Linked DNA regions of Drosophila melanogaster. The protein of the gene in region 2 binds, or shares a complex with, the protein of the main gene of each other region. Each region holds a gene or a part of one and is shown on either strand. Other genes may lie near its edges.

The links.
Region 1: Spt7 (region 2) and Spt3 share a complex: the UniProt entries of both Drosophila melanogaster proteins name them as parts of the spt-Ada-Gcn5 acetyltransferase (SAGA) complex.
Region 3: Spt7 (region 2) and Sgf29 share a complex: the UniProt entries of both Drosophila melanogaster proteins name them as parts of the spt-Ada-Gcn5 acetyltransferase (SAGA) complex.
Region 4: Spt7 (region 2) and Spt20 share a complex: the UniProt entries of both Drosophila melanogaster proteins name them as parts of the spt-Ada-Gcn5 acetyltransferase (SAGA) complex.

Annotation. Positions count from the first base shown.
Region 1 is NT_033777.3:12,013,280-12,020,637, reverse strand, and holds Spt3 (Spt3), read right to left. Parts: upstream 3,483-7,358; 5' UTR 3,413-3,482; coding exon 2,258-3,412; 3' UTR 2,088-2,257; downstream 1-2,087. Other genes in the region: DCAF12 (DDB1 and CUL4 associated factor 12), read left to right, coding at 3,820-4,086, 4,156-4,710, 4,770-5,174, 5,239-5,391; GCC185 (GRIP and coiled-coil domain containing 185 kDa), read right to left, coding at 6,052-6,134, 6,198-6,315, 6,379-7,358. UniProt on the Drosophila melanogaster protein: Component of the transcription regulatory complex SAGA, a multiprotein complex that activates transcription by remodeling chromatin and mediating histone acetylation and deubiquitination. The SAGA complex predominantly acetylates histone H3.
Region 2 is NC_004354.4:17,847,261-17,854,408, reverse strand, and holds Spt7 (Spt7), read right to left. Parts: upstream 3,950-7,148; 5' UTR 3,869-3,949; coding exon 3,726-3,868; intron 3,665-3,725; coding exon 3,562-3,664; intron 3,502-3,561; coding exon 2,668-3,501; 3' UTR 2,522-2,667; downstream 1-2,521. Other genes in the region: Mco4 (multicopper oxidase 4), read left to right, coding at 1-308, 380-1,380; CG32554 (uncharacterized protein), read left to right, coding at 1,802-2,521; CG15814 (uncharacterized protein), read left to right, coding at 4,454-4,501, 4,599-4,633, 4,699-4,995, 5,064-5,292, 5,355-5,590, 5,648-5,768; Ucp4A (uncoupling protein 4A), read right to left, coding at 6,753-6,927, 6,990-7,148. UniProt on the Drosophila melanogaster protein: Component of the transcription regulatory complex SAGA, a multiprotein complex that activates transcription by remodeling chromatin and mediating histone acetylation and deubiquitination. The SAGA complex predominantly acetylates histone H3.
Region 3 is NT_033778.4:21,290,102-21,297,034, forward strand, and holds Sgf29 (SAGA-associated factor 29kDa), read right to left. Parts: upstream 3,546-6,933; 5' UTR 3,396-3,545; intron 3,341-3,395; exon of another isoform or gene 3,314-3,340; 5' UTR 3,259-3,313; coding exon 3,220-3,258; intron 3,165-3,219; coding exon 2,936-3,164; intron 2,884-2,935; coding exon 2,726-2,883; intron 2,657-2,725; coding exon 2,213-2,656; 3' UTR 2,138-2,212; downstream 1-2,137. Other genes in the region: CG10505 (uncharacterized protein), read right to left, coding at 145-227; CG30392 (uncharacterized protein), read right to left, coding at 1,185-1,480, 1,541-1,758, 1,826-1,983; RpL29 (ribosomal protein L29), read left to right, coding at 3,959-4,060, 4,130-4,258; CG9752 (uncharacterized protein), read right to left, coding at 4,334-5,109, 5,166-5,421. UniProt on the Drosophila melanogaster protein: Component of both the SAGA and CHAT histone acetyltransferase complexes, which both predominantly acetylate histone H3.
Region 4 is NT_037436.4:13,498,877-13,507,146, reverse strand, and holds the start of Spt20 (Spt20), read right to left. Parts: upstream 4,441-8,270; 5' UTR 3,799-4,440; coding exon 3,763-3,798; intron 3,692-3,762; coding exon 2,750-3,691; intron 2,692-2,749; coding exon 577-2,691; intron 508-576; coding exon 276-507; intron 213-275; coding exon 1-212. Other genes in the region: Tgi (Tondu-domain-containing growth inhibitor), read right to left, coding at 5,092-5,864, 5,933-6,247. UniProt on the Drosophila melanogaster protein: Component of the transcription regulatory complex SAGA, a multiprotein complex that activates transcription by remodeling chromatin and mediating histone acetylation and deubiquitination. The SAGA complex predominantly acetylates histone H3.

The DNA.
Region 1 (7,358 bases), on a different chromosome or scaffold from region 2:
AATATATAATTGCTCCTGCCACTTAACTAATTAAATAAAGACAGTTTTCTTTGTGCGCTCACCTCGACCCGCCTGTCACCCACCTGCCTCCCACCTGGGCACCCAAACGCACTCGGTGGCACTGCCAATCGCACTCGGGGATGGAGTGGCATGACCATGGATGCTGTGCCACCAATGACAATGAGATGAGAATGCCCTTGGGCTCCGTTCATAGGACGGATAGGTGGATGGACGGAGCAATGGCGATGGCGTTGGCGGGATCTTTCCGTTGGAGGCGTTTAATCTCATTCATTTTGAATAAGACCGGCTCCAGCGTATTTAGCCTGAGTACTTGTGTCAACACATTCCAAGACGGTTTCAAATTAAAAGGCCGTGTAATATGCTCCTCCGAGGGACTGTTTTTGTTTTGGTTTCCTTTTATTTTTTTGCTAGCTTCTAATGGTTTATGCCTAGACAACTGTCAATGGTCTCGGGGGCTGGGCATCGGGGGAAATTGCCTCCGGCTGACGTCAGCAACTTTTCGAGAAAGCGAAAGTAATTAAAAAAGTTTAGCCGAACGGATTTTCAAAAATATCCAATTGCTAAGCCAGACATGCAATTGATGTTTCTCAACTGCACACTCTTTGTGGCAAGTTAGAGAAATTAAAAGCTTTACTTAATTAGCCGCTCAGCAAACATGTTCTTAAACATAAGTCAATTTTGAATAAAAATTTTCAATATTCATGCTATGATTTTCTGTTTACATAGTGTAATTCTATTTAACTATCATTGTTAGAAAAGTTTAGAAAACAGTATCTTTCAAAACAGTATCTTTCGAAGGATAATTAATTCTGTATTCTAAATTATTCAAGAAATTAAGGTATAGAGGCATATTTACATACATACGTATAATATGAGGGCCTTCCCTTTAAGAGAAGTTTAAGGCAACTCGGCTACAAGGGATTGGGGCATATTGACTTTACGCGGCCTGGAAATTGGCTACGTGACTTGACAATACGAAGAAATGACGACGCGACGACGAGCTCCACGGACCTGATGATGATGGTCCTGTTGGGGACGAAGCGAAGAGCCGCATGAAATGCAAATTTGGAAACATTAACAGTGAGTGTGGAGAAGTGTGGGGAGCAGTGCGCGGGGTCAAGGAAAAAAATCACAAGGACGATGCTGGAATGGAAACAAGTTGTTGGCTTAATTTCGTCACAGCCAGCTTGTTTTCATTAACTGGCCATCGAGGAGCTATCGACTGCGTTCCGGCGCTCGTTAGGCGTATGAGCAATCGATTAAGAATAATGGGCCGTTGGAATTACATCTGCAGCACAGAGCAATCAACATTAAGATCCGATTAAACTAGGATATCCCACCGAAGAAAATAACAAGAGGATACCTTTAAAGGTGCATCGATTTTAAGTCAAATTTCGGACCGCATGTTATCAGATAAACAAGCGGGTGATAGGAATAAGAAAAATTTCAAATAAATGGTTTTTAAAAGTTATTTTAAAAAGGTTTTTGGAAAAGATTTGGATTTTGCCTTTGCTATACAATCATGACCACAATTGCACATATGTACATATATTAAAAGTTCAAGTGACATTGAGCAATAATTCTTAATCCTTTTCAATTCACGGCAAAAGACAGAATGAAACCCGCCACCCATAACTGCGGAATGAATTTTAACCCCTTTACCCTTCGTTGCTATGCGTGTCACACACATTTATATGCACAACAGGAAGTTGATTATTAAGTGCGTTCGCGAGTTGCTTCTCTTAATGCCTTATGCTGCAGTCTCTCCTGCAATCCTGCGGCATCCTTGCTGGTCCTTCTCCTTCGCTCCGTCTGTGTGGCACACGTGCGAGTGCGCCTGTCGGCAAATTTCTTTATTGCGCTTTTATTTATCTGTCGGTGCCAGTTTCAACTTCGTTTACCGCTTCAATTTATCGGCTCCATGCGAGGCAGATTCACCCGTCCGTAATTGGAGTGCGTTTTTCTGTCTTTTAGTCGCAGCCTCAAAGGCCAGGATATGTGCCACAGGCAAATTGAATTAATGAATATGCCTAGTTGTTCTTGACCTCTCAGGAAAAAACTTTTTTAACGAGCCAAAATTGCTTTATTTTATAATTTGTATAATTAAAATGTAGAGCGCGTTAATTGTTGGGGATTGAATTACTTTAAATGAATTAATTGTACAGTCTATTTTTTGTGAATAAAATCAATAATTGACGCAAATAAAAATAGGCGAGGATATTAAGATCATTAAAACTTAAATGGCTAGAAAACTGCGCCGGAAATCGATGTCGCAAGAGTTGCGATACCGCCCAATCTTACGGCTGCTCATTTGCCGGAAACGGCGCATGGCCTCGTGGATCTCCGGTACACTGATTGGCTTGACCACCTCCATGCCGCGACCCTGTGTGACCTCCGGACAGACGTGCATCATAGCCGGACTGCCTCCGGCGGAGGTCACTCGGCTGTAGGGCTCGGTCGCACGGTTGTCCGAGTTCAGGCGCGTCAGGATCGAATAGTCGACAATGGCGGCAATGGTCTCATGCGCCAGATAGGCCAAAATGTTCATTGTCGGCGTTGGGATGCGAAGGTCCGCGGGCAGGTCCAGAAAGCGGCGGAACTTGTTCTTGATCTTCTCCCCATGGCGGCAGTAGAATGACGTCTTGCGCGCCTCATTGAACTCCAGGTATTGCTGGCCCGTAAGGATCTGCGATATCCGATCTGCGCGGAATAATCTTCGCATTCGGTCCTCGTCGTGTAGCTCGTACACATCGATGGCCAGCTCCTCGTCCTCCTCCTGCTGCTCCAAGTCGTCCATGAAGTCCTGCGGCCTTCCCGTGCGGATACTAAGGAACCTTTTGAGTATGCGCATATCCTTGAGGTGCTTTCGCATCCGAGCTATCTTCACCGGATGGTTGCGCATCAGGAACTCAAAGTCCGCCTGCGACGGGCAGGGATTCTGTTTCCGCCGCATGGCCACCAGCGAAGCCTCATTGAAGATGCCGCGCAGCTGCTGCTGCAGGATCTGCTCCACCAGCTTGACACTTCCCGTCCTGGGCTGATCGCTGTCGCCGAAGCTTCGCATGATATCCGCAATCTCTGTGAGCAGTGAGACAGGTGCATCATCCGGAATGAGAACGTTGGCAACGTTGCTCCCGCTGGCACCACCGGCTACATTATGTCCAGCTAGGTTGATCTGCTGTGGCGAGGGATTCGTCGGTATGCTTCCACTTTGCAGCAGAATCACTTGGCGCTGCACAAGCAGTGGCTTGATGTCCTCGGTGGTCTGCAGTTGCGGCGTGCTGGGCGCCGAGGGCGGGGCAGGTCCAATCATTATCGGCGACGCTGCCATGTCGTTGGAACCCACGCAAACCGAGTTCTGTCGCATTACTCGCTTGGCGTTGTAGTTCATTTTATTTACAAACAAAGTCACCACTTCAATCGCAACAGCTGATTTCGTGAGAATAGATAAAACCCTTTGTGAAAGCGATGGCCTATCGTTAGGGATGAACGATAGTGTAACGCATTTGTGCGACATCCGACTTTATATAAATACTGTATATTATATATATATTATTATATATATATATATATTCAGGTAACCAGAGCGGCCGAGTATTGTGCCAAATAGAAAAATGTCAACACTTGTATTTTTATTTCCCTTAATTTGTATCTCTGCATTAAATGCAAAACAATCGGTTCAGCAAACTTCAGTTCCGAACCAGTAGTTCCACTGTAGTCTACGCACCACCATTTTTGTTTGCGGATGATAACCCGTAAAGCAAAAGACAACAAATCGGATTAAACAATTACCTTAAGATGTTCAACGGGATGGTGAGAACCATCCGCGACAGCGTCGTGGGCACCTATCCGTCCTGCCACGTATCCTCGCGGCTGGAGGAGCGCAGGGCCAAGCAGCGGGCGATGCGACAGGAGCGTAGACGAAAACCGGACAAACCAGACGACTTTGTTACTTACGAGGATTCCGGCAGCGACGAGGAGACGCCCCAACAGCAGGAGGAGGTCCTGAACACATCCTACAACCTGTGCGACTACCTGCGCAGCCGGGAGAGTGGACTCCGAGATGTGGGTATATGTTGTGAAGTCGCACCACTTGCATTGCTAACGTGAACTTTGTCCCACCATCCTCTGCAGCGTCGCAGTGTCAATGTGGAGTACACCAGCCGCTATGTGCTAACCCACGACATGCTGCGCGAGACGCAGATTAGTCTGGGCTACATCAACAAGGTCTTCTGCTCCAAGTGGCTGAGCAGTCGACAAGTGGTTTTCGGGACCAAGTGCAATAAACTGCTCGTCTACGATGTGAACATGCGCCGGGTGGACGCCATCCCAACGCTCTCAAATAGCCGGGCAAACCATCCTGAGGTCCAGGGTGGCCTGCATGCCATCGAGCTGTCGCCCAGCCGATCCTTCCTAGCCACCGGTGCGCGCAACTCCTCCGATATTGCTGTTTACCGACTGCCTACGCTGGATCCCGTCTGTGTGGGCGAGGGTGGGCACCGCGACCTTATAATGGGCATGTGCTGGCTGGATGACCAGTTTCTTGTGTCCGGATCGAAGGACTCGCGCATGGCTCTGTGGCGCATCAACGAGGATCACATGGAGTTTCCAGATGGCGGCGAGGAAGCGTGTCCCACATTCGCAACCATCCACCCCCTTAGTGTCAAGGAAGTTCGCACTGCCCAGAGGGTGAGCTTATGAATGCAAATCAAATCAAAGAACCATTTTATCAATAAGATCTTTTACAGATTCGATCTCTTTGCTTCAACAAGGAGTTTAAGGAGATCGCCGCCCTCTCGCTGAACGGATACATTCACATCTTCAATGCGGAGACCTTCAAGCAGACACTCTCACGAAAGCTGCCAAACTGCCAGGACAACGTGAGCATCGCCTACCACAGCGACGGCCTTTATGCCGTTGGATGCCGTTCCTATACCATCCTTTTGGACGCCCGAACCCTTCAAACCATTAAGAAGATCACATCTCGATACAGTGGCTGCGGTATACGGGCGACTTCGTTCGAAGGTAACCTGCTCACCGTTGGCACGGGTCTGGGCATGCTCCTATTCTACGACATTCGAGCCGGAAAGTATTTGGAGAGCAGTGTGAATGCCTCGCGCACAGTCGCACTCAAGTGCAGCAAAGGAATTGTGGTAAGTGAAGAGGTTACAGTTCCACAAAATACACCAATTCACCTAACTGTTTTGTACATTTCAGTATCCGGAGGATGAGATGGATGGCTTCCAGCAGGTGAAGTATGTGCCCGCCATCTACACCCACTGCTATGACAGCACTAGGATGCGCCTCTTCGCTGCAGGAGGACCACTGCCGGCGACTTTGGTGGGCAACTATGCGGGCGTTTGGCAATAGATTGGCATAGGATCCGATCCGGGCTCACAATACTGATTAGTATTTAAGTAGTTATTCGACTTGTGATCTTTAATCTTTTGGCGCATTTCGATTCAAATCGTTCACCTGCATATGTATTCCGCCAAGACAGAATTTTTATTTAACTTGATTACTCACTTTTGGTTTTAATGAAATTTATGTAAGATTTATGTTAATGATATTTTATATTGTGTGTAAACAATATACACCGTTTAAAAGTGTAAATGTAAGCATAAATACCGATCCTATTTATATATAGTACATACAATACAAATAATGGAATACTAATTTATAGACAATGCATCTGATTTATAGTCTGATCTATATGGTAATAGAATTTCAAATTAAACAAACCATTGAAAAACATTGTTTTTAAATATATGCAAAGGCTTTCTTCAATCTACAACGCGCATATTGCCGGTGGTGCTGTATAGGGCACTCAACACAACGGGTGTGGACAAATTACAAGAGTGTACAAAGTACGATGTGCCAAACAGCAACGAGCAATTTTAAAATACATTATATATAAAAGGGAAATTGTACAAGATTTACAGAATGAATGCTATGCAACTGCCCAACGACTGACGACTATCCGCATCCAACAAGACGAATATTTATATATTATATATCCTATGATGTTCGCTAGTTGTTATTATTGGGACTGCCTCCTCCACTCCACGCAGTGAGGAATCCCGTCCAGCTGCGACTGCTACCATCTGCAGAAACTAAAAGCAATATCTTAATACAAGAAACCATACTAAAATTTAAATTTTTCTGCTAGTAGTTACCTTTCTGTCCCTTGGCCACACAGTTCAGCATTTCCATTTCGTTGCGACTCAGGCGGAGAATGGTATTTAGCACGGGAACCAAGCGCTGCCGCTCATCGACATTGTTTAACGTAAGGAACTGCAAGTTTATAAAGTAAATAGATTAAGCCCGTGGATATAGTTATTGCGTTCCTGATCTCACCTTTAAGAAGACGTTCTTCAAGTACTCGGAGTTGTGCATGTGTTGTTCACGTTCCTCGGAGCGCTCTTGGCGGCGCAATTCTTCCTTGAGCATGTCGTTCATTTGGGTCAGTTTAGCCAAATCCTGTTCGTTTTCGGCCAACAGGGCAGTCAAGTGCTTGACACGACTTTCCTGGATGCTTAGGCGTTCTTTTGTGGCCTGAAGCTGGGCACTTTGGACGGAAAAGTCTCCCCGTGCGGCCATTTCCGCTTCCTCGTCCTCCTGCTGCGAAACGCTGCGTCCGAAATTAGAGATGGTAGTCACGGTATCGCTGGTTATTTGGTTCATTGATGTGTTGAGCAGCTCGTCAAGCGGCATGAAGTCGTGGGAACGTCTCGAGGCAGTAGATATCTTTCGCTGAGCAGCCAGTTGGGCCAGAGAGACGTCTCCAGCGTGGCCATCCAAGCCTGTTTCGTGGTCCATAAGCAAGTAATCGATCTTTGCCTGCTCTGGACTGGTGTCCACGCTCGCGGCGGATGCAGTGGTATGCTGAGAGACGTTTGCTTGCATCTTTTGCGCTTCCTCCAGTTGCTCCTGCACCTGCGTTAATTGCAACTGGTGCCCGGCGTCCAGCTCATCAACTTGCTGGCGATGCTGCTGCATCAGGTCGTGTTGGAATTGCAACTGGCGTTGGTTTTCTAGCGACAGCAGGTCGTTTTGCTGACGCAGTTCGTCAACTAGAGAGACGAGCTCTTTGCTACGCTTTTGCAGATCAGTGTTATCCTGTCGCAATTCCTCTATTTGACTATCCAACTGGGCCAGGCGGGCAGCTCTTCCATCGTTGCTGGCGCGCAGATTGCGTTCACTCTCTCGAAGCGCAACCAACTCTTCTTCCAACTCCTGTTCGCGGTTGGAGCCCTTATTTTGGTTTTTGCGCAGCACAGACTGTGCCTTCAACTTGTATTCGGTGTACTCTACTCGCAGGTCCTCCAGAGCTCGTT
Region 2 (7,148 bases):
CGGCGGCACCAACTGGTGGCACAGCCACACGGAACATCAGCGGGCCTTCGGACTCGCTGGGCCACTGGTGGTGCGAATGCCGCCCAAGCTCAATCCCCACGCGCATCTCTACGACTTCGACATGTCGGAGCACGTGATCATGATCCAGGACTGGGTGCACAACTTCGTGGAGAGCGTGGCCGAGAACATTCTGATCAACGGGCGGGGCAGGAATCTGAAGAAGGGCGTCAAGGCCGCCAAGCCCACGCTCTATGCCCACTTTCCGGTGGTCAGGGGCGGACGCTATCGCTTCCGGGTGATCTTCAACGGTGAGTGAAGCTAGGGCGCTTTGGCAATGGATTTGAGTTCATCTTATGTACGTACCTCCATCCATTTGCAGGCGTTTCGAACTGTCCGATCAGCTTCAGCATCGATAAGCACGACCTGGTGGTGATCGCCAGCGATGGCAACGACATCGAGCCGGTGGAGGTGCAGCGGATCATGTTCCACGGCGCGGAGCGCTTCGACTTCGTGCTGCACGCCAACCAGGAGGTGAGCAACTACTGGATCCGGGTGAAGGGCTACAGCTTCTGTGCGAAGAACCAGCTGCATCAGGAGGCGGTGTTGCACTACAGGGACGCGGATACCCGGGCGCTGGACACGCATACCCTGAGCTATGCCTACGATGCGCCGGGCAAGACGCTCAATGAACTGGGCGACGATGCGAGCGGTGCGCGTGCTGGGAATAGCATATCGTTGGCCAATCTCAATGCCCAGCGACCGGAACCGGAAGTGGCGCCATCGGTGACCTTCTACACCAGCATGAACGCGTTCGAGGTGCGGCAGGGCGAGGGCTTCCGCTTCCAGATGGACGACATCAGCTTCAGCATGCCCAAGATGTCGCTGCTGCAGACGCGCAACCTGGGCGTTGGCCAGTTCTTCTGCAATCGCTCCCAACAGGCGGATCTTGGTTTCAATTGCCGCCAGCGGCACTGTCAGTGCTCCAACGTCATCCAGGTGCCAGCCAACCAGCAGGTGGAGTTCGTCATCTCCAGCCTGTCGCAGACGCCGCATCCCATCCACCTGCACGGCTACACATTCCGTGTCGTCGGGATGGGAGTGCTGGGGGAGCAGAAGATTGGCCAGATCGAACAGATCGACAAGAAGACGCCGCTGCCGCGACGCGCCAAAGGTGCTCCGCTGAAGGACTCCGTCCAGGTGCCCGCCTTCGGGTACACGATCCTGCGGTTCTACTCGAACAGTCCCGGCTACTGGATGTTCCACTGTCACATATCGCCGCACTCGGAGAACGGAATGGCCGCAGTGGTGCGGGTGGGCGAGGATGTGGAGATGAAGATGTGCCCGGTGAGCAACTGCGGTCTGTGCAGTTCGGTGGCCTAGTGGGGTTCCTGGGTCCCGAAGTTATCACTCAAATCCCTGTATAAGCAATAAAAGCGTTAACTTTTAGCTGGCATTATTTCGAATAGATTGATTTTGAGCGGTTGAATTTGTTTTACAGGAAACAGCATTAAATGTAATAATCACCGTGGAAAGTTGGACTGCACTTCCTTAATTAACAATCAATCACATTAAATCACTTGTTTAGATTCTTTTAAAATTATTAAAAAGTCTGCTAAATGGCCAAATCAAAAATATTATCAATCTCCTATTTGTAATTTCGAATTCCATCATAGCGCTTTTAGAATCTATCGATACTTATCGCTTTGGAAAATGGCAGTTCCAACCATCGTGCACGTTAACGGCACACCTATCGTTTAAAAATTAAATGTAAATAAATAAATATTCAAAGAGCGTACAAAAAATGCCAGTTAAATCAAGGGATAGCGACTCTGATTCCGAGGACGACGCCCAGATGCGCCAGTTCCTGGAGGCGGCGGACACCACGTTGCTCACAAATGCCATGTATCAATCGCAGCCAAAAGAGGAGGCGCATGAAGTAGCCAACGAGGAGCAACCGTTGGCCACTAGGAAGGACGAAGCACAGCCGGTAAAAAGTGAACGCTACGTGGAGGATCAGGACGCGCCTGCCAGCGATCTGCAGATCTCGCAGGAGATGCAAACGCACATTTGGCGCAGACTGAGCGGCATAATCCAGGAGCAAATCGAGTTCTCTCTGGATGTACCCAATGGCGTAGGCAAACAGAAGCCCCCACCCGACAAAGTCAAGCTCGTGTCCAATGCCGATTGCTATTTGATCGCCGATTTGGTGGTGGAAGGTCCTGCAGGTCCGAAAAAGAAACCTAACATAAGGAGACGGACCCCCGAAGAAGACCAATCCGCGCCCGAAGCTCTGGACTCTGTGGTGGTCACTGGCAACTCCATACTGGAAGGCAGGGACCTGCTGGCGTGGGCCCAGAAAAAGACGCGCCACGACAAAGTGTTCCAGTACAGAGCCAGCGATCCGAATGCAACCAAACTTGTGGCCATTGAACCCACCAACGAGTTCACCAAGCGGAGGCGACAAAACAACTGGAACGAGTCGAGGATTAGCAAAAAGATGAGCAATAAACAAAACACGTAATAAAAACTATTTAATTAGTACGTTTCCTTAGAGCTTAACTTAACTTGAGCCTAGAGATCTTAGTCGTTCTATAAAAAGTGTGAAACATTTGATTGCTAGAGATATCTCAGTGTGAGATAATGAAGTTATCCCCGCAATTTTAACAATTACGTTTCAAAAGTGGCGTGAAAGTTGCTAATCGTGGCCCCATTGCCATTTCCATTGCCGCCCGTGCTGCCATTGCCGCTCGTCCCCGTCATGTTGGAGGTATTGGACGATATCTGGCCATCGAGCAGGCCGTACAGCATCTGCTGGGAGCTGACTGTGCCACTGGAGCCCGTGCTACCGCCCAGATCCTGCAGCATATCGCCCATGGCCATGCCGCCTATGCTCTGGCTGCTGCCTGTGGCGCTGTTGTCCAGGATGTTGAGAAAGTCGTGGCCGTTGAACTCGTTGTGCTGCTTCTGCATGCTGCTCTGGCTCTCCTTCATCAGTTTGTCGTACTCCTGCAGTACGCTGTTGAACTCAGCGATCTCCGCGCGATTCCTGGCCAGCACCTTGTGCTTGTAGTAGTTGTGCACCTGGGTGAGCGAGGTGCCCGTTTGGGCGAAATGGGCGCGCTCCAGTGGGACCAGCTGCAGCACCGTGGAATTCTGCAGCCGCGGCTGACTGTCATAGTAGCCGCGATACTCGCCGATAAAGCTGCGCAGGAACTCCTCGGTGGCGTCCGTCAGCAGTTGCACCGCCGACTCGGAACAGTCGGTGAAGCCGGCCAGGCGCAGCATGCCGCACATCACCTTGCGCATCGCCTGGCGGCAAGCAGAGCTGGGGATCTCCGGATATGCCTCCGGATCCCCGCGAGAGTAGGCTGTGTCCACGGTTGGTGTGAACCAAATGGGCTTCTGAAACTTTTGGCTGCCCACCAGTTCGGCTGCGTTCTCCGGCGGAAAGTCCACTTCCGGTATCATTAGGCACGGATTCAAGAGGTAATTGGAACTTCCCTATGAATTCATTGGGTAAATTAGGTAAATACTACGGTTAAACAAGAACCAAGAACTTGCATTTTTGTTGGAGTACGTTTCAATGAGGGACTGCAGCACCTCGGTTTGCTTCATCACCTCGATGGTCTGGGTGACCAGCGCACTCCTCAGCTCCAACTTGTGGCTACATGGAATATATGGTTAGTTTACCGGCTGCGTTAAAGCTTTTCTTTAGATTTATTTACTGCTTTTCTTGCGGTTGCGGATCTCCGCGCTGGCGAATCTCGTCCAGCTTAAGTTTCTTGGCCGCCGTGGGCACGTATTTGTCCGGCGTCAGTTGACCGCCGTCATCCTCTGCGGGCAGCGAGCCCCAGTGCTCTGTTTGCATGTTTATTTCGCTTAAAAACCTACGTACAACATTTACTTAACAATATATTGTTGTTTACTTATCGGGCCCTAAAATAACATGGTTGGTTATCGGGACTATCGATAAGTTTGCTTGCGCTGGGAACGAAATACTCAACTCATTGAACCAAACAGCTGATTGTCGGTAAACATCGGCACGGCCTGCAGCGGCATCTGGCAACGTTGGCCTCGAACGTTTCGTTTTCGATAATCAGAAAGCGCTGTCGTAGCTAAAGTAAATAAAGGTTATGATAAAATAGCAACAATTTGGGAAAAACCCCATACTCAGGACAGCTGGTTCTAACAATCAGGTCGCGCTTGTATTTTTGTGGCTCACGTCACACATACATGTATTCGTTTTTTCGGCCGCTGTGACAAATGGCAACGCCACTGCAGCTGGACAAGCACACAGGCATAAAATGTAATTATTTGTTTTCGTTTCACGAATTTCAAAGGTAAAAACCGATCGCAATACGTGGTGGGCAAGATAACGCAGCGACGCAGACGACGAGTGGGACTGTCCGGCGGATTGGCGGCAGCGGGATACGGCGGATACAACGGCAATAAGATGCACCAGGAGCACATGGACCTGCATGAGCCCGTGGACTTGAACAAGGTGAGTCTTTTCTAATGGGAATCGAATAGGAAGCCCCACTCTACTGCCAAATTTTCCCTCTTCCCTGCAATTCCCTGCTAATGCGGATGTCCATCAGTCCCTGGACGAAATGACGCCGGAGGAGCGAATGCGGTAAGTGAAGTGGCCTTAGAAAATCCTTTAAATCATAACAAATTTTCGGCTATCCAATCGAACAGAGCGCAGCATCAACTGATGGTGGAGAAACATCGCGGCCACGATGCCATGCACTCCGAGATGGTGATCATTCTGTTCGTCACCCTGGTTATTGCCCAGATCATCCTGGTCGAGTGGAAGAAGCGGCACTACAGATCCTACGCTTTCGTCACCCTGCTGGCCATGTGGCTCATTCCGCTGATCATCTCCTGCAGCTTCGGCTGGCTGCGCTTCATAATCATCTGGCTGGTGTTCACCTGCATCACGGCACTGGTTATGCGACGGGCCATCAGCAAGCCCATCCAGGGCACAACGCCTAGGTGAGTCAACGTAGATAAGAACGGCGACCGACGAAGGCCAGATAATAACCCATAAAATCCAATTTCAGGCTGGTCTACAAGTGGTTCTACTTCATCTACAAGCTCAGCTATGGCCTTGGCCTGGTGGGCTATCTGGTGATCATAGCCGCCTTTCTGGGCATGAATTACATGTTCTCACAGCCACCAAACACATGGATGGATGTGGGCCTGATGTTCTGCTTCTACGGCCTGTACATCGGCGTCCTGGGGCGTGATATATCCGAGATATGTTCGGATAAGATGGCGGCAGCTATTGGCGTGAGTTGACCATTGGCCAGATACCCAGTTGGAATCTTCTAACCCTCCCGTTTGTCCCACAGTACTACACACCTCAGGGTATTCCAACACGACATCTTGATCAGAATGTCTGCGCAGTGTGTGGCAATCAGTTGCTGGTCTCGGAGAAGGAAGAGGGCGTCATTGAGAACACCTACAAGTTGTCTTGTAACCACGTATTCCACGAGTTCTGTATACGTGGTTGGTGCATTGTGGGCAAGAAGCAGACGTGTCCCTACTGCAAGGAAAAGGTCGATCTCCAGAAGATGTTCCGCAATCCGTAAGCCATTCAGAGCCATCCGTTTGACTGGCCTACTTAATATTGTTTCTCCTCTAGCTGGGAGAAGCCGCACGTTTTGTACGGTCGCCTGCTGGATTGGATTCGTTGGCTGGTGGCCTGGCAGCCGCTCATCTTTTTCATAGTACAAGGCATCAACTGGATGCTGGGACTGGAGTAGATCCTGATACCGGCACTAGCTTTCCTCGGCGTCTAGTCAAGCACACACACTTCGGATTAAGTCCTGCACATGAAACCACACGGAAAACACGACGATGGAGAAACAACGACAGACCAACCTGGAGGGGCTGCGAAACACCCGCACCACTAGTACCGTCGCCGTTCATTCCCCCGCTCCCCTCCACGACTCCATTACATGAACCTGAACCATGATGACGATGACGGATGAAAGATCTGTAGACGAATGCCATTGCCATCCAATCTGTTTGCGGGTTTCCAGTTCTGTGTGTGGTTTGCTTTTGGGCACCCAAATTTTCCTTTTCCATTGGAGTCTTTAATCGAAACGTAAATGCAATTTTGGATATATGTATCTATATCTATATATTATACGTAGCTATGTATTTATGTACATATGTGTGCCTGTGTGTATGCCTCCTAGGTATTATTACCAATTTTATTTTCTTGATTTTACTTAATTGCACTCGAGCTGGTTAGGAATATACATATACCAAAAAAAATCTATTGATAAAATACTTAAAACTGTTTCACTTTCACTGAAGGAAGGGAAAAATCCTATTAATAATTTATTTGCCAGGATTATACAAGTTCCATTGACCACCAGCATTGCTGTCTCTTTCGATTTCGCTCGACTCTTGGGAAATTCTTAAGTAATCGCCTAAGTAATATCCGTTGAAATAACAAGTTTCTCGCTTTATTGTAAGTTTTGATTTTAATCTTAAGGCAACAACAATAACAAAAGGTAAGAGAAAGAAACCTGAAAGATCTGATTGGCATAACAGACTAAAATGGACAGAGTATATGCTGCTAAGCTTGGCCAGGAGCCGCACAACATCCTCCTGACATTTGGGCATTCAGGCACGGAAAATAGGATTATGACCGACTTAAAGGCGGGGTAACATGAACGAACTGCGTTATACATGTGCTTGTATGTACATCTACACCTAAACTTAAATTGAGCCACCGCTCAGTAGCCGGAGGCTCCGATCATCTTGCGGATCTGTTCGAAGGACAGCCAGAAGGTGAGCGACCACGGCGCCATTCGTATCCAGCAGGGCAGAAAGCCTTTGTACAGCGCCACAAAGCCCTCCTTCGAAACCGTCTGTCGCAGGCAGTCCACGGATCCGCGATAGAGCAGGCCCCTGCGAGAATAACATAGGTGATTAAGCGTTCCAATAGTTAAATGCGGCCATTGGTCACTTACCGGCCATTCTCGTCGGTGGGCTGGTTCATGATGCGCGTCTTCACCACATCAGCTGGCGTGCCCATGATCGCTGCCACGAATCCGGCACAAACGGAGGCCAGCACGTGCACTGTGTGACAGTCGGGCATCTGCAGGCGATTCATGATCAGGTGCTTGATG
Region 3 (6,933 bases), on a different chromosome or scaffold from region 2:
GGAGATGTTGTTTATCAGCACTTATTAGCAACAATTAGCACTATCCTTATCGCGAGTTGTAAACTATTCACTGATTGACCATGACCATCGTTTCCGCAGAGATTTTCACTTTTCACCAATAAAAAAAAAATATTGACGACTCACAGGAACAGCCACTTAGAGATTATATTGGCCTTGATAAACGGATTACTCTCTCTTTTCGGACTCGACTGCTTAGAAGCATCCATGGCTCCATATGCTCGCGGCGCCAGACGGATTGAATATGCCCCAAAACGGACGGTCGAAGGCGCTTTTAACGACTTCAGCACTCACAGACGGAGCAGTGACGTCTGTGGATTATTTGTCCGGAGAACCACCATCTTCTACGGTTTGCACTTGGCACAACGCCTGTCCAAACGGCGATAAAGTGGCCAACTCAACACGTTTTTTGAGAGTTCACCGCTTTTGATAGTGATACGTAGTGATAGTGACTAAGGCGTAATCGATAGCGCAATTAGACTGCAATTGAAACGGCGGCCATTACTGCAATTTGCGCTCCAAAAGTTAGCTCGCTAAGCCCAAATGGCCATATATCTTGACTGGATTCTGGAGATATAGGGGAGTTTTAGCGGTCTTTGTCTTGGACCATAATCACAAGCAGATACGCCAAGCCATTTGTATCCGAAGTGGGTTTTTTATGAGGTAGCATTCCCCCAGCAGCTTATCTAATCGGGATCGCTTATTATGCTGTTATATTTGGAACTGGCACGAGAAACTATGTTTGTCCAGGTTGACCAAGTTCAATACACCCAGAGATAAGACAAGTTTTCATTCATGACTAAAGCTTTAATGGCGTTAAAATACGGGGGATTTTGGAAATATTGCACAGCCTGTGGACAAGGCGATAGATGAGCGATTGCAGGCAATTCAAAATGCAAAATTAAAACTTACGTCTTAGGAAACGAATACTTGCAGTTACACAATCAATACAGAAAATTTTAGCTACATAATCTACGCCGGGGTAGACACCAGATCTGATAGAGAGTTAGATACAGTACAAAAGCATATTATAAAAGTATGGTATAATATCATATTATAGGCATCTTTTCTGGCTAGGGTAAAGTAGGGAAACTTTGGTATTTATCACTCTATCAGATCTTTTGAATGCCCCAGATGTATAGATATGGATTATGTATGTATGGATTCTAAGGCAGGCTGTGTAGATCGTATAGCGTGTAGAGGTCTTCTGTGCGATCGTAGTTGGTTCTCATATGCTTCAGCATGGAAGGCAGGTTCTCTTTGGCCGCCTCGACATCGGAGCACACTTTCTTGAGAAGATCTCCCCTAGTGGGCATCGCGTACATAGCCAGGCGCGCTCCTTTGCGGATGAGGAATGAGTGATGCTTGCCCAGGGTGTCATCGTAGGCCTCCTTGCACACGTCCACAGTCTTTTGGTCGTCGGGTATCGCCTGGATCCGATTGAGAAACTCGTAGACAAAGTCTAGATAAGAAGAAACCAATCAATTAGCCACTGTGGCAGTTATATGCGCATAACGCTCACCAAGACCGCGATGAAGACGTAGCAGCGTTCGACTGCCAGACACGTAACCCTTCTGAGTAAGCAACTGGGCCTCCTTCTCGTAATCCAGCATGGTTCTGAAGGTATTAAAGTGTTCCTGCTCCTCCGCGTCCTTGGCTCTCAGGGCGTATAAGATATCTATTTTACTGCGCACATCGCTGCTGACAAAACTGAAGACACTGCCCATGAGCTGGAAGAACCTAATGAACACCGAAAGCCCAATAGAGCACCACTAAAAAACATAAACATCATAATCACTCAGTTTACTTCATTATTTCCTCGTAGGCTGCCAAGTATGCGTCTAATTGTACGTCATCCTCGTCCAGAAGGCTGGTTTCGAACAAATTAGACACTTTGAGGATATCAAAACAGTTTCCATTTTCCGCCGTGCCATTGGTCTGCGTCGCTAAGCTCGTTTTACTCATCTTATAAGCCTGCCTTTCCCCTTTGTTTTCCTACAAACTTTAAAGTCTATTTATTTTTTTTAGGAAATCAATGTAACCGTTCTCCAAAAAATCCGGTATTAAAATACCACCCTGAAATTACTTTCTTCTTATTCCAGACAGAAACCAGTCTATTGTGAATTGAATACAATTTTAATTGGAGCTATTATTACAATTACATTTAATTCTTAAAGTTAAGATAATACATTTTTTATGCTGATGATAGATTCCCGCTGCCACTGCCAGCCCCCTTTTTCGTTGGACGATATGCAATCACATAGCGCTGTGCGACCGGCAAGGGTTCGGCATAGCCATTCGTGTACGATGAATCCTCGAATAGCACCTCGTAATCCTCGGTGGCGGTTTGCGGCAGGCGATGGACAATGGCCTTGTAGAAACAGGTGGTCTGTGGATATAGCGCCATTACCACTGTGTCCTTGGGGAAGAGGGCGTGACCATCGGTCTCAGGATTTGCACGCATTAGAGGCAGTGGGATGACCTTTCGCTTGCTCAGCACATGGCGATCCTTTTGCTCCTCGTCAATGTCAATTACGTCGTATTTGTTTTGACGGTGAAGGAACTGCACCACTTCCGCCAGGATCCAGTTCTCCTCCTCATCAATTCCCTTAGCTAATGCGGCAACATTGTCGCCAACCTATACAGTGGCGTCCGATTAGTCAGATCATCATCCCAGCTTCTTTGTCCAATCAAAATGAATGCTTACCTTGGCCACATAGTTCCCCTCGGCGGGAATGGCTCCACATAGAGCTGGTGCTCGTTCTCCTAGTTTGCCAACGAATAACGGCAACGTTTGCGCTGAGAGCTGCACCATTTTCATAAGGGCGCCCCGTCGAATGGCCTCCTTATTTCCAGCGTTGCGAGCTGTGGAATATGCGAGATTAAATCCTGTTTATACATCCCATCACTAACCCACCTTGGATGCGCCTCTCATTGCGAATGCTTCGAATCTCGTGGATTTTCGCCAGTGCGGCTCGGATTGTGGCCTCCTCCTGCGCAGCCTCCGTTAAACTGGCCTTGAGCAGGGGCTTAACCTTCTGATTGGTGGCGTGCAGAGATCGCACCAGACTAGCAATGGAGTTTTCCGCACGACGACGCTCCTCGTCCACATTGTGAATGTTTTGTTGAATGTCCTTCAGGCGATCCTGTAAATGCCATATAAATATAGTATATATCGACATTTATTGTTAACATCTTTACCTGAATCTGTTGGGCGGCACTCTCCGCAGTCAGTGGCATGTTGTTTCGATATTATAACAATATAATAAATTTGTTTTTTGAACACTTTGTTTACCTACGCAATGAAAACAAAAACAAGCATAAGCGTAAAGTCGACAACGCGTTAGTATTAACTATGCGATAGTTTTATATTTTACCTCAGTATTTTTTTAATCTTAGCAAATTTTATTTTACAGAGTAAAACAGAGTAATTATTGTTAAGATTTTTGTACCGTATAATCTCATTATTTGACTTTAGTGGATCTTTTTCTCAAACTCGAATATTTACTTTTCAAAGTTGTTTACGTTTCTTACATTGGAGATGGAAGCAAGTGCGCCTAACAGCACGCAGATAACAGCACGATATCTTCACGTGGTTGGCGTTATTTAGTCCCTTTTCTGCGCTCTATGACAGCCTCTCTGGCTTTCCCTTCTTTTCCATCGCGTTTCCGTAAGTGTGCTCCGCGTTTTTCCAATTGGCTATTTTTATTTATAATATCTTCAATTGCAGCTAGGAATTCCAGTGTGCGAAAAACGTAGGTGCCTAATACACGAGAAATGCAACGAAAATTTCAACAGTTGTTGGCTTTTTGTTCAACTGGCGTTGGCTAAAAGTGAACTCCAAGTGTTAACCCCAAGCTAAAATTATAATGGCGAACATTTTTTCTGTTTTCATGTGCCGCCCCATCAACGAATCTTTGGATACCCGGAGTAGTTTAAGATGGCCAAGTCCAAGAACCACACAAATCACAACCAGAACAAGAAGGCCCATCGTAATGGCATCAAGCGCCCGCTGCGCAAACGCCACGAGTCCACTCTGGGTGTAAGTATTCAAAAATATGCATATTTAGTTAGCATCTAGAGTTGATTTTAACAACCTTCCCGTCTTTAGATGGATGTGAAATTTCTGATCAACCAGCGCTACGCACGCAAGGGAAACCTTTCCCGCGAGGAGTCCGTGAAGCGCTACAACGAGCGCATCGCTTCCCAGAAGGGCAAGCCAAAGCCTGTTACTCTGTAGATGATTGCCCCGCGTGTGGATAATTAAAGGACAATTCAGTTTAACAAAGAACCGTCTTTATTTGTGTTGCCGTCGTTAGTAGTAGATGCTCAGCACCTTGTGGAAGGGAATGTGCTCCAGGTCGGCATTGTGCCGACGCCGGTAGTCCCACAGATATTGGTCGATCACAATGGAGTTGACGTTGTCCAGTGAGATTTCGGGGTGCTGCTCCTTGAGTATCTTCACCACAGCATCCCTAACTTGTTCGATGATGTATATAGATGCGCCGCGTATCTCCACCTCTCGGGGATCGCCGTTCTCCAGAATAGTATCCGTCTTTAGGAACTCCATTAGCTCACTGGTGTACTCCAAACTGCCGAAGTGCACTAGCACCTGGGGAATTCGGTAGTCAGCGAACATGGTTATCTGATCGATGTCATTAAAGAACCCAAGTCCCTGACCTCTGTAGCAGGACCACACATCGCCCACTAGGATTTGCGCTCGTTTTAGGATGGAAACTCGCTTTCCAGCAAACTCAGCCTCATCGCGAAAACAGGGAAACTCCTCCACAACGAGATCCAGCAAGCGAACTGCCGATTTCTCCGCCTTCTTGATAACATTCTCAAAACTGCCGTCGTACTTGTCGATCAGAACTTTTCCCACTTCATGGAGCGATTCCAGACGCTTTTGGAGCAGCGGAATCACTGTCTCGCCATCGTCAGAGCGGAAAATGTTCTCCACGGTTTTCAGATCAATCTGGGAATAGAACTTGGGATTGATCACATCCACGCCTTCCTTGATGGCTCTCTTAATCGCAGCACACAGCGCAAAGTAGCCGGTATAGCCATCGACCTTATATTTGGTGTAGTTATCTGCGGAAGATTACCATTGAAGATAGTGGATGCTGCTATAAATATCAATTACTCACTGGGGGTCCAAAAGCAAAAGTTCAGGGTGTCCAACACAAAGACCCAGTCGGCTGCTTTGGAATAATCCTCCGGCTGATTTGGATTGGGATGTAATTCGTGCTGCGAGAAGTTTTCCACAGCAATGCGTTTTTCTATTAGGCCTTTTACGATTTCCTGGGTCAGTTTCTCAATGCCTGCAGGCAGAATACGAACATGCTTGGCATTTTCTACGATATAGGCTCCAGATTCCCGGGGACTTAGTTTGCTGCTGGACATTTTAACAATTTTATTAATGTTTTTAATTAAGATGTCGCGACTTTTGGCGCTGTAACAGGCGTTTTGGTTTATTTAGGAGATTCGGGATGGTAAGTAGTCTGGTAACGCCACCAGGGCTGCAGACACGCCAGAACAGTTTCGGCCCGGTGGCAGCGCTGAAATAACACATGAAGGAGCTGCGAATTTCGCTCGTTGCTCGCGGAATAAAATAAGCAAATAATAGTTAAATGGCAATAGTGGGTCACCAACTAGCCGCCAGTTTTTTCTAACTGATTGTGTAATGTTCTAAAAGTGAAGTGCGTACAAAAAAGAGAACGCGTACAGTGCCGTTGATTGCTTAAACAAAAAGTCATCAATTTGTTTTTGTGTGGCTTTGTTGTTTGTGAATGCCCAGGAAATATTTAATTCACACGACAGTTACTCAAGTGCCGCACGTTCTTTGTGCGATTAAGAAAAATATTTTATCGACGTTTCAGTTGGCACCCACACACTGAGCCACCCGCACTCACACAGATACGGCTACGCGGATACAGATACATATACAGATACACGTGCGCTCAGCTGTTGTCGAGAGCTGCTCAGCTGTAGTTTGTTGTCATTCCGTCTCGAGATCCAGATCCCAGAAAATCCCAAGGATATACCCCCAAAAATCCGGACACGCAGATATATATGCCCTTGATCCAGTCAGCAGGTGAGCTATCCGGTTCTGGCCCGATCCGCTGAATATGCCGCATCACACAGGCTTCATTTTAATTTGTAGACACGACTGAATCCGATAATTATATAGTATACTACTTTAGCAGTGGCCCATAAGTAGCCTCAAAATGTGCTAACAGATTGTACACTTAAATAGTTGACTTATTCTCCATCGTATTATTCACTCTTGAGTTTCCCACACACACCAAAGTAAAGTATACGTAGTTTACATAAATAAACTTAGAGACCTAGAACTTGCAATATACACACTTACAGTATAGACGCATTTATTTTTATAATAATAATAATCTATTCCGAGCCCCGCGCGGATTTCGCTTTCATCTAGCAATCGTCACTAGTTTAATTTAGTTATTTGTTTACTTTTAAAGGGAGCGCTATCGGCTGTAGGTTTTTATTTAAACTGTAATCTGTCATGTAATCAGTCATAATACCTTGAGTGCTCGAAAGTAAGGCACTCTTTATCTTTCCCCTTATCGTGCACTCCACATTTTGTATCCTCGAAGTGGGGAGGTAGCTTAAATGCGATCTAGATACACAATTTCAATACATCATCGTCAGTAATTGACCGCTCGTCAAATTTAATGTGCTAATTTGAACTGATCGTGCATTGATTTCTATATTTTTCCACAACGATCTTGTCAAGCGATGGAATCCAAATCCGTAAAGGTACTTGAGATCTTCTTTAAGCCATCCGCCTCACAATCATGTGCTAATTTGCGAGATAAATCAGACATTTGGCAATCATTGATCGCACCTGATTTCATCGATTGGAGTGTCTCAGTTTGTTTTTGTATC
Region 4 (8,270 bases), on a different chromosome or scaffold from region 2:
CGTCAGCGTCTGCGGTTGCTGCTGGCCGGTGGAGGTGGTGAACGTTCCACTGGCCACGGGTGTGCTGGTCATCGCAGCTGGAGCACTGTTGAGCAGGTTTAAAATTGACGCATTGCTGGAGTTCTTGAGGGTTGTGGCACTGGTGCTACTTCCGTTGTTGTTGGTGCTGCCGCCTGACCCTGCAGCATTATTGTTGCTCGACGTGTTCCCCGCTGTAAGACAATTTTGTATTGTTATTTAGCATATTTCCCATCGAAGATTCCCACCGAACTTACTTTGCTGCTGATGCTGCTGCTGGTGTTGCTGCTGCTGTTGTTGCTGGTACTGGTTGGCAGAGTTCATAATGCTGTTGACTATGGCGTTTATTGCAGGATTCGGATGTATGGCCGTATTGTTGTTCATATTGTTATTGTTATTATTGTTGTTGTTGTTGTTACTAGTGGCAGTTGTCTGTTGTTGCTGTTGCTTCTGCATAATCTGTTGCTGCTGCACTTTCAGCTGCGTTTGCTGCGGAATAGGAGAGTACATAAAGTTATTGACAAACTAGCAATGCTTAATTGACCATGTTCTACTAACCAGTATTGGCACATTTGAGTTGAGCTGGGCACGCAGCGCTGAATTGGCCCCCACCACGGAAGTGCCCTTCACCTGCTGTTGCTGCTGTTGAATGGTGGCGGGCTGGATGGTTATGCCCGAATGTTGCAGCGCCTGTGCCAGCTGTTGCGATTGCTGCTGTGGCTGCTGCTGTTGCACAAGGACCAGGGAACCATTGCTGAGGCTAACTTGGTGCGTTGTTGTGGAGGTATTGCTGCTGCCGGTGGCCAACTGCTGAAGATGTATGTGTTGTTGTTGTTGCTGCTGCTGCTGCTGCTGTTGTTGCGGGACAATCTGTGCTGCAGCTTGCTGCTGCGGTGCCTCAATTGTGTATGTTTGCGGCTGCTGCTGCTGCGCTGATTGTTGCCGAAAGTTTTGTTGTACATTGATTACATTACTTCCAGCCAAATTGAGAGTCTTTTGAGTTATTTGTTGTCGCGGCAGTGCAACATGATGCACTGTGGCGGATAACTGCTGTCCCGCTTGTTGTGTCTGCTGTTGTTGTTGCGATTGTTGCTGCTGATTGGCAACAACAACGACTTGCTGCTGCTGCTGTTGTTGTTGCTGCTGCATTTGAGCTTGACGCTGCTGCTGCTGTTGTTGCTGCTGCAAGAGGATCCGCTGCTCATTCGTCAATCCCGTGTGAGTCACAATTGGCATATGCCCGGGTATCAAATGCGTGATTTTGACCGCCTTACGTCCCTCCTCGGTGAAGATCTCGCGGAACTGTTGAATGTATCGATTGGCATGCACCCGAGTGCCCAGCGCAAAGCGGCACGACTCGCCGTTTCGCTCACCCTCCCGGTAATCTCGGTCCACATAGAGCTCGCCGAGATACTCTGCATCGGAGGGGCGCTGGAAAATGGACAGCTTTATGTGGTATAGAGCCCGCCGGCCTTCACTCGCCTCCCGCTCCGTCTCAAGAATGTATTCCTCGACCAGCTGCGGTTGGAAGTTATGACGACAGTTTGGCTGGCAACCGTCCTTGCAGGCCTCACTGAATTCGTTAAGGGGCTCGTAGGCCTTGGCATACTTTTCCACGCTGATCACGTGCTCGGGCACCTTCAGATTGGCGGGATACTCCAGTGTGGGCGGACGAATGGGCCGTATGACCTCGTGTGGTCGCCGGGGCACCTTCGATGTGAACGAAGAGAGCATGGCCCCCACCAGCGGATTGTTGGTGGGCGCCGTGGCCGGTGTGGCATTGGCGCCACCACTGCTACTTCCCGTCCGCGGTCGCTGGCGCAGGCGAGCCAGGTAATCGCACAATTCCAGTCCGTGATGGTGAGTGAATTGGTCCAACTTGCGCTTCCGATTGATAGCCGTTTGGGTGAACTTCTTCATCTGGCGCCGCAGCTCGTGGGAGTTGTACAGCTGACGCTGATGCTGGGAGTTGATGGCCTGCCGCCCTATGCTGGGATCCGGCTCCAGACACAGCGGCTCCGCCGTGGCCAACACCAGCTGGCTCTCCAGGGCGAGCTTGTCCTCCGCCGGCAACTGGCTGCCCATTTGCTGCACTTCCGCGAATAGGGTGGCGTTCGTGGGCCTGAGCAGGATGTGCTTCATATCACAGATATTCGTTGAGGTGGCAAATGTCTGGCGGAAGTCGCGGATCTGGGCGATAACGCAGCCGGCATAGAAGACGCTAGGCTTGGCGTACACCCGTGTTCCCTCGCCATCCGACAAACTGACGGTCTCCGCTACGAGTAGATCCATTAAAAACTCCGGCAGCATTTCACGATCGATGCATTGCAGCAGCAAATCGTTCTCGTAGGGCCACCGAAGCACCTCCACGAGTCCAAAATCGTGTTTGGCGTGACCCGCCTCCGTCTTGGATTGACTTTCGTCCTGGGCTAGCGGCTTGGGACGACTCCGATGACTGCCCGTTCCCGTACCCAATCCCGCAGCATCGCTCGAGGTCTCGTCCTTGTCCGTGGGGGACCATTCGTTTGTTTGCGGATTTAGCACCATGTGCTCGTCATAATGCAGGGCCAGCGAGTATCCCTTATTGCCGGGATACAAGTTGACCACAATCGTGTTGAGCTTCTCCCGATCCACCAACCGCTCCAGTGTAAAGGATCGAGTGCGCTGCTTTAGCTGAAAGTGATAAGAGTCCTTACATAAGGTTTCCGCTTTTGATTGGCTCAACACTTACCCCTGTCTCGGCAAAGTAGTTTAGGTCGTTGCTCAGCAGTTGCAGGTACAGGTCCCTTATTTTCTCGTGCAGATTAAAGAACTTGCTGTTGCCCGACTGGCAGACGGATGAAGGTGGCTTGCTGTTGCTATTGGAGGAGGCAGCGCCGGCGCCAGCGCGCGCTGATTGCGACGACGAGGTGGCTGTGGAGACTGATGCGGCGGGTATAGCTGAGCTGCGACTAGAGGAGCTGCTCTCCTTGCTACTGCTATTGGACTTCTGGCGCTTGCTGGGCGACGACGTGGGCGATGCCAGGACATGGTGATTGTGCGTCTGGTGGAGGTGATGATGGTGCAGGTGGTGGCCGCCTCCACTGGCTGTTGAGTTGGCGGAGGGTGGCCGCTTCTCGGACTTCTTGCTGGACACACTGGCCGCTCCCGTTGAGCTATTGCTTAGACTGGAGTTAACGCCCGGCGGTGTCGACAGCAGAAGATCGGGCACCACCGGCGACGGCGACGTGATTGAGTTGAAGTTCGACATCGTTGTGGTGGAGGATGAGCACGAGGAGGGCGACGGAGCAATTGCAGTGGGCAGGCCGCTGGGCGTGGCCGAGGTCGGCTCCGTGAGCAGGCTGCCCAGTGAGCCGCCAGTGCCCTCGGTGGGGGACTCGTCGTCATCGAAGATACAAATGGGCGGCTGGGCAGGAATCTGTGGTATAGCCTGCAATAGGCTGGTCTCCAGGTACGATTTGCTGCTCGAGGAGGCGAACTGCTGCTGCTGGAGCGTGGGATGCAGCTGATGGTAGGACTGCTGCGGCTGCAGCTGCGGCGAGGATCCAGACGTGCCGTACTGGACGAACTGCGTCTGGTGGACACCCGAACCGTGGGCGTGGACCGCTAGGCCCTGGACATGGTCCGCGTTGCTGGAACCCTTTAACTTTTTGAGCGTGTCATTTATAATAAACTGTCGAAAAATAAAGTGTAAAATGGGAATTAATCGTATTCAGGCTGCATGAAAAATGCCACAGTTCTTACGTCGGCTTCTTGGCATGAGGAGTCCAGGCTTTGCATGGTGGTGCCAGCGGATTGCTAGGGGAGATCCAACGGAGGATGGCGCACCCAATTACCGACGACATCCAAGCACCAGTCTACGAACAATCCTGGCCAGGATCGGCGGCATTCGCATTGCGCTAGCAGGTGTCCGTGTTGCCAGTGAACGTCGAATTACGAATTTCTAGGACCGCAGACGCAGGGCTCCGTTGTTGTCTCCTACTTTCGCTGGCTGCTGCTGCTGCTGCTGCTGTCCATCGGTTAGTTTCGCCACACTCAGCACTCGGCTGTGCCGCATCAGGATCGTTTTGGGGTGCTCCTCGGTCCGTCTGTGTGACGAATCGCTGCACTGGAGGACACTGAGATCGGATCCCGATGGCGATTACTGCGGTTTCTTCACTCTTTTTCCACTTCCACTGCTGCTGCTGCTTTGCGTGACATTTTCTCTCTGCGCCCCTCTGCCGACGAACTCTCTTTCTGGCGCTGCTGCTCCGTGAATTTGCAAGGTCGCGCGCTCTGCTGCGGTTATGGGGCGAACAGTGGGCTGGTTCTTTAATGATACGCCGAGGATTGCTCGCTTTTAATTGTTTTAAAACTTTGTTTTATGCTTTTTTTTGCAATGTAAATGTACTGTACGATTCGTGCCGTGCGAATGCCAACAATCGTTATCGTTCGCTGTGAATGGCATTGTCGCCGTTCCGTCTGCCGTTAGTGGTGTGTGCACATTGGCTGCCCATGCACTGTGTGCTGTTAGGCGCGCGCTGTTAACGCTCTGTTAGCCGCCCAACAGTCATTTGAAAATTCAAAATATGCAATTCAAAATCTGAAATTTTGCAGTTTATTTCCCACTTTCGGTGAATGAATAGACAGACTTTGTAGGATTGTTTACTTATGTTTAATAGGTATATTATTAAGGATTAGTCTCTACCAACTAAGCGTTAAGAATACAAAATTTTGTCACTTGTACGTATACACTTTGTCATACACATTTATCCATATATATGTAAATATTCATATATATATATATATAATTATATCCGCGCGCTAACCGTTATCAATATTCAATAAAATCATTATATCAGAAACTTGTAATACACTCGCAGTTGAAGAATTTCCGTTCACATCAGCATGAGATCTTTAAACGTTAATTGTGTAGTTTGAAATATTTATAATAAAAACAGCTCTTGAGTTGAATCGTTGAGGATCAGGGGTTGCTTTTGGGTTGGGTTGTGTTGAGTTCTGTTGGGAATTGGGATCGGGATCGGGATCGGGTTGTGTGCGGGTTGGTGGGTGATTTGCTCGCTTGCTCCTCCTCTACTCCTTGTGCCCGCCCTGCAGCTTCTTCCAAGTTTCGCCCAGCGCCTTGGCAAAGTGGTCGTCCACCGAGGCTTCAGTCTTGGTGAATATCGAGATATTCGTGGACGAGGTGGGCGAAGCGGGCGGCGTCTGCGTCGAGGAGGCAGCCACGGCCGCCAGTCCCGGTTCAGCCTTCACCCGAATGATGGCCGGCATGCTGGGCGTGGGCGTGGGAATCTGCGACGGCGTCGGATTCGGAGTTGGTGTCGGTGTCAAAGTCGGCGCCACAACGGTGGTTCCGGCTATTCCGTAAGCCGGCGGTGGAGGCGGTGGTGTGTTGTATCTCGGCGGCGTGTGGTGTGGCGTGTCCAGGATCCGCCTGCCCGCCACCGCTGCCTCCATCACCTGGCTGACGGCCGTGGGTAGCGCTGGTGCCGATCCCGTGGCCGAAGGTGGCGGCGATGGCGGCGTTTGGGTGCGATGCAGTGCCAGCGACAGGGGAAGCGGTTCCTCCTGCGGCGGCGGCAGTTCCGGCTGCAGCGATTCGGGCTCCAGAATGACCCATCCCGACTTGGCCAGCGGCGAGCGTTGCTGCTGGTAGTGCTGCGATGCCGCTGTGCTGGTTGATGAAGGCAGTCCGTAGGCCAGTGGCGAAACCTGCTGCTTAGGTGTACCACTTGGCGAGGGCGTGGGTGTTGGCGTAGGCGTCGGTGACTTCTTGGCGAACAGGGCAGCATAGTTCTCGCCCAGTGAGCGTCGGAAGTGCTCGTCAATGTCGCACATCGCCATATCTGCAAGGCAAATCAAAGCATCAGGTTAGTATGATCGTTGACACTAATGTGCATATATGACTTCTCACCTGTAGAGTGGGCCTGCTCCGGTGGTTCTCGCTTGGGTGGAGCCTGGGTAATGACGCTGGGTCGACTGTTGGCCGCGTAGTTGGTCCCAGGCAAGGGTTCGCGATAGGGTGGCGGCGGTGAGGCTCTCTGCTTCAGAGCTCCCGTCGTCACCGACATGTCAATGGGACTGTCCATGTCGCGATCCTCTCGATCCCGCTCCCGTTCCCGCTCCCTCTCGCTGTTGCCTGCCTCGTGCGGCTGGTATCCGGCACTACGCTGACGCCGCTCGCGTCGCCATTTGGTGGTGGTCAGCACCTTGGACGTCGCACGCATCTCTGCAAGGAGAAAAAAAAAGAAACATCAAGAGTCAAAAACGGTTTTCAGGAAAACGAGCTATCTGTTTTGGCCATCTTTTTGGCTAGCCCTCTGAATAGTAATAGTCCATATGTCCATATTATAGACAAAAATCGAATTTCAATTAAAACCCATAAATTTGCTGTGGCTTTGCGGTTGATTTGGGTTTTGTCTGGCTAGCGATTCACCAATGCTCGTTGCGGTTTACGTGTCTGTCGTCTTGGCTTCGATTATGCGGTCGATGAGTGGGCGTAATGAATCAGTTGGAGTTGAGGCGAGGCTGACTCTACAAAGGTTCTCCTCCACCCGATCGCCTGCCTGCGTCTATGTATCCAAATCTCTACCCCCCCCTGGCCCGCTCTGTCCTGCAAGTTTGTTGCCTAAGTCTTTCGTTTTTTTGAATGAACCTCTGCCAAAAGCTGCAAAGTCGCGGAGCGGCAGAGAGCGGCAAGAGCGGGCAGGAGGAAGAGTTTAAGGCAGCACAGAAATTATGCACAAGAAGACGTAGCCGTCATCGGCAAAAAATATGAATAAAAATAAAACAAAAAAAACGGCACACACACACTCGAACAAATAAATAATAACAACAGAAAAAGCATATACAATCGAAACTCCAAGGCACCAACAAAATTGGTTACGAAAACTCGTTTGGTCTACGCTCTTTTTCGAGTTCGCCTGGGTTGTATGTGTGTGTGTGTGTGTGTATTAAAGTCTGGGCCTGGCCTACACTGAGCGAAACGCAGGAACGTGCCTGGCCTGCCAATGGGCGATTGACCGAGCTGCCGGCGTGGGAAGCGGCCAAAACGGAGCGTGGGCATCCCGTCGGGATGAAAGATCCATCTGCTCCAGGCGCTCAGTGTAGCTGCTGCTGCAGCTTGCCAGGAAACCAAGTTTATAAATAAAGCAAAAGGCTGGCAGCGGGAAGCCAGGTCCCAGAACCCAGTTTCTCGGCCGATATCGAAGGGGCAGGCAAACCAGTCGGGCGACTTCTGCACATTTCGAGCAGCGCAGAGAACCCCGTTTGGAGGAGGAGTAGCTGCAGTCCCAGGAACCCAGGCATGAATGAATGAATGAATGGCTGGATTGGGATGGAGGCGGTTGGCGTTGGCGGAGGAGCAGGAGCAGGAGGAGTGGTAGGAGCAGGCGGGAGCGTTGTCCTGTTTTTGGCAACGTCACTGCGGGGCTGCCATATATTACTACCTCTGCGAGTCCAACCAAACCGGCGAGGCAGAGGAGCACCAGTAAGAGGAGCCAAGAAACTGGTCTGTCCCGAGTGGAGCACTGGGCGCAGAGGATGACGAGGAGGTGGAGGAGGAGGGCGGAGGCAGTGAAGTTGGAGTTGCAGGCCAAGAGGCATTAAAAACCAACAAACACGGAGGCTGGGAGCAAACTTGGGCTTGGACTCGGGCTCGGGCTCGGGCTCAAGCGGATGATGATGGGGATGATGATAATAATAAAGAAACATTCAAATTTTATTGCACATTTCCGGTCGTCGGACGTCGCCGTCTGTTGGGGGATCGGCGGTTCGACAGCGAAAACAACAACCACAACAACGAAGACGAAAACGACAACGATGGAGCATGGAGCATGGAGCATGGAAGTTGGAACATTAAGCTTTCTTTTTGAGGCTCCCCCTCTTTTGCGGATTGTGGTCTGCAGCTCCCTATCTCACCTTCGCCGCCACCGCATTTTCAGCATCCTCTCGGCATTGTTTATTTGTTCTGCTGCCAGCGTTTTAATCATTTCTGTATCGGCTAATTGGCGATAAAGGGGAAGTCGATTGAATGGCAGGCCGTTTCGAAATTAAGGGGGAGTTCGTAAAAGGGAGCTCGAAATGGGGTTACATCGATGATATAAGCAAGGGACAGTCGTGGGATCCAGGCGATGTAGGATGTAGTGACAGTTAGCTTGTACTCCGAACAGAAAAATCAAACGATTTAAAGGTAGAAACCAGGTTTTGGCATTTGTAAAATGAATTGAAGCCATAAAGAACGACTTGAATAA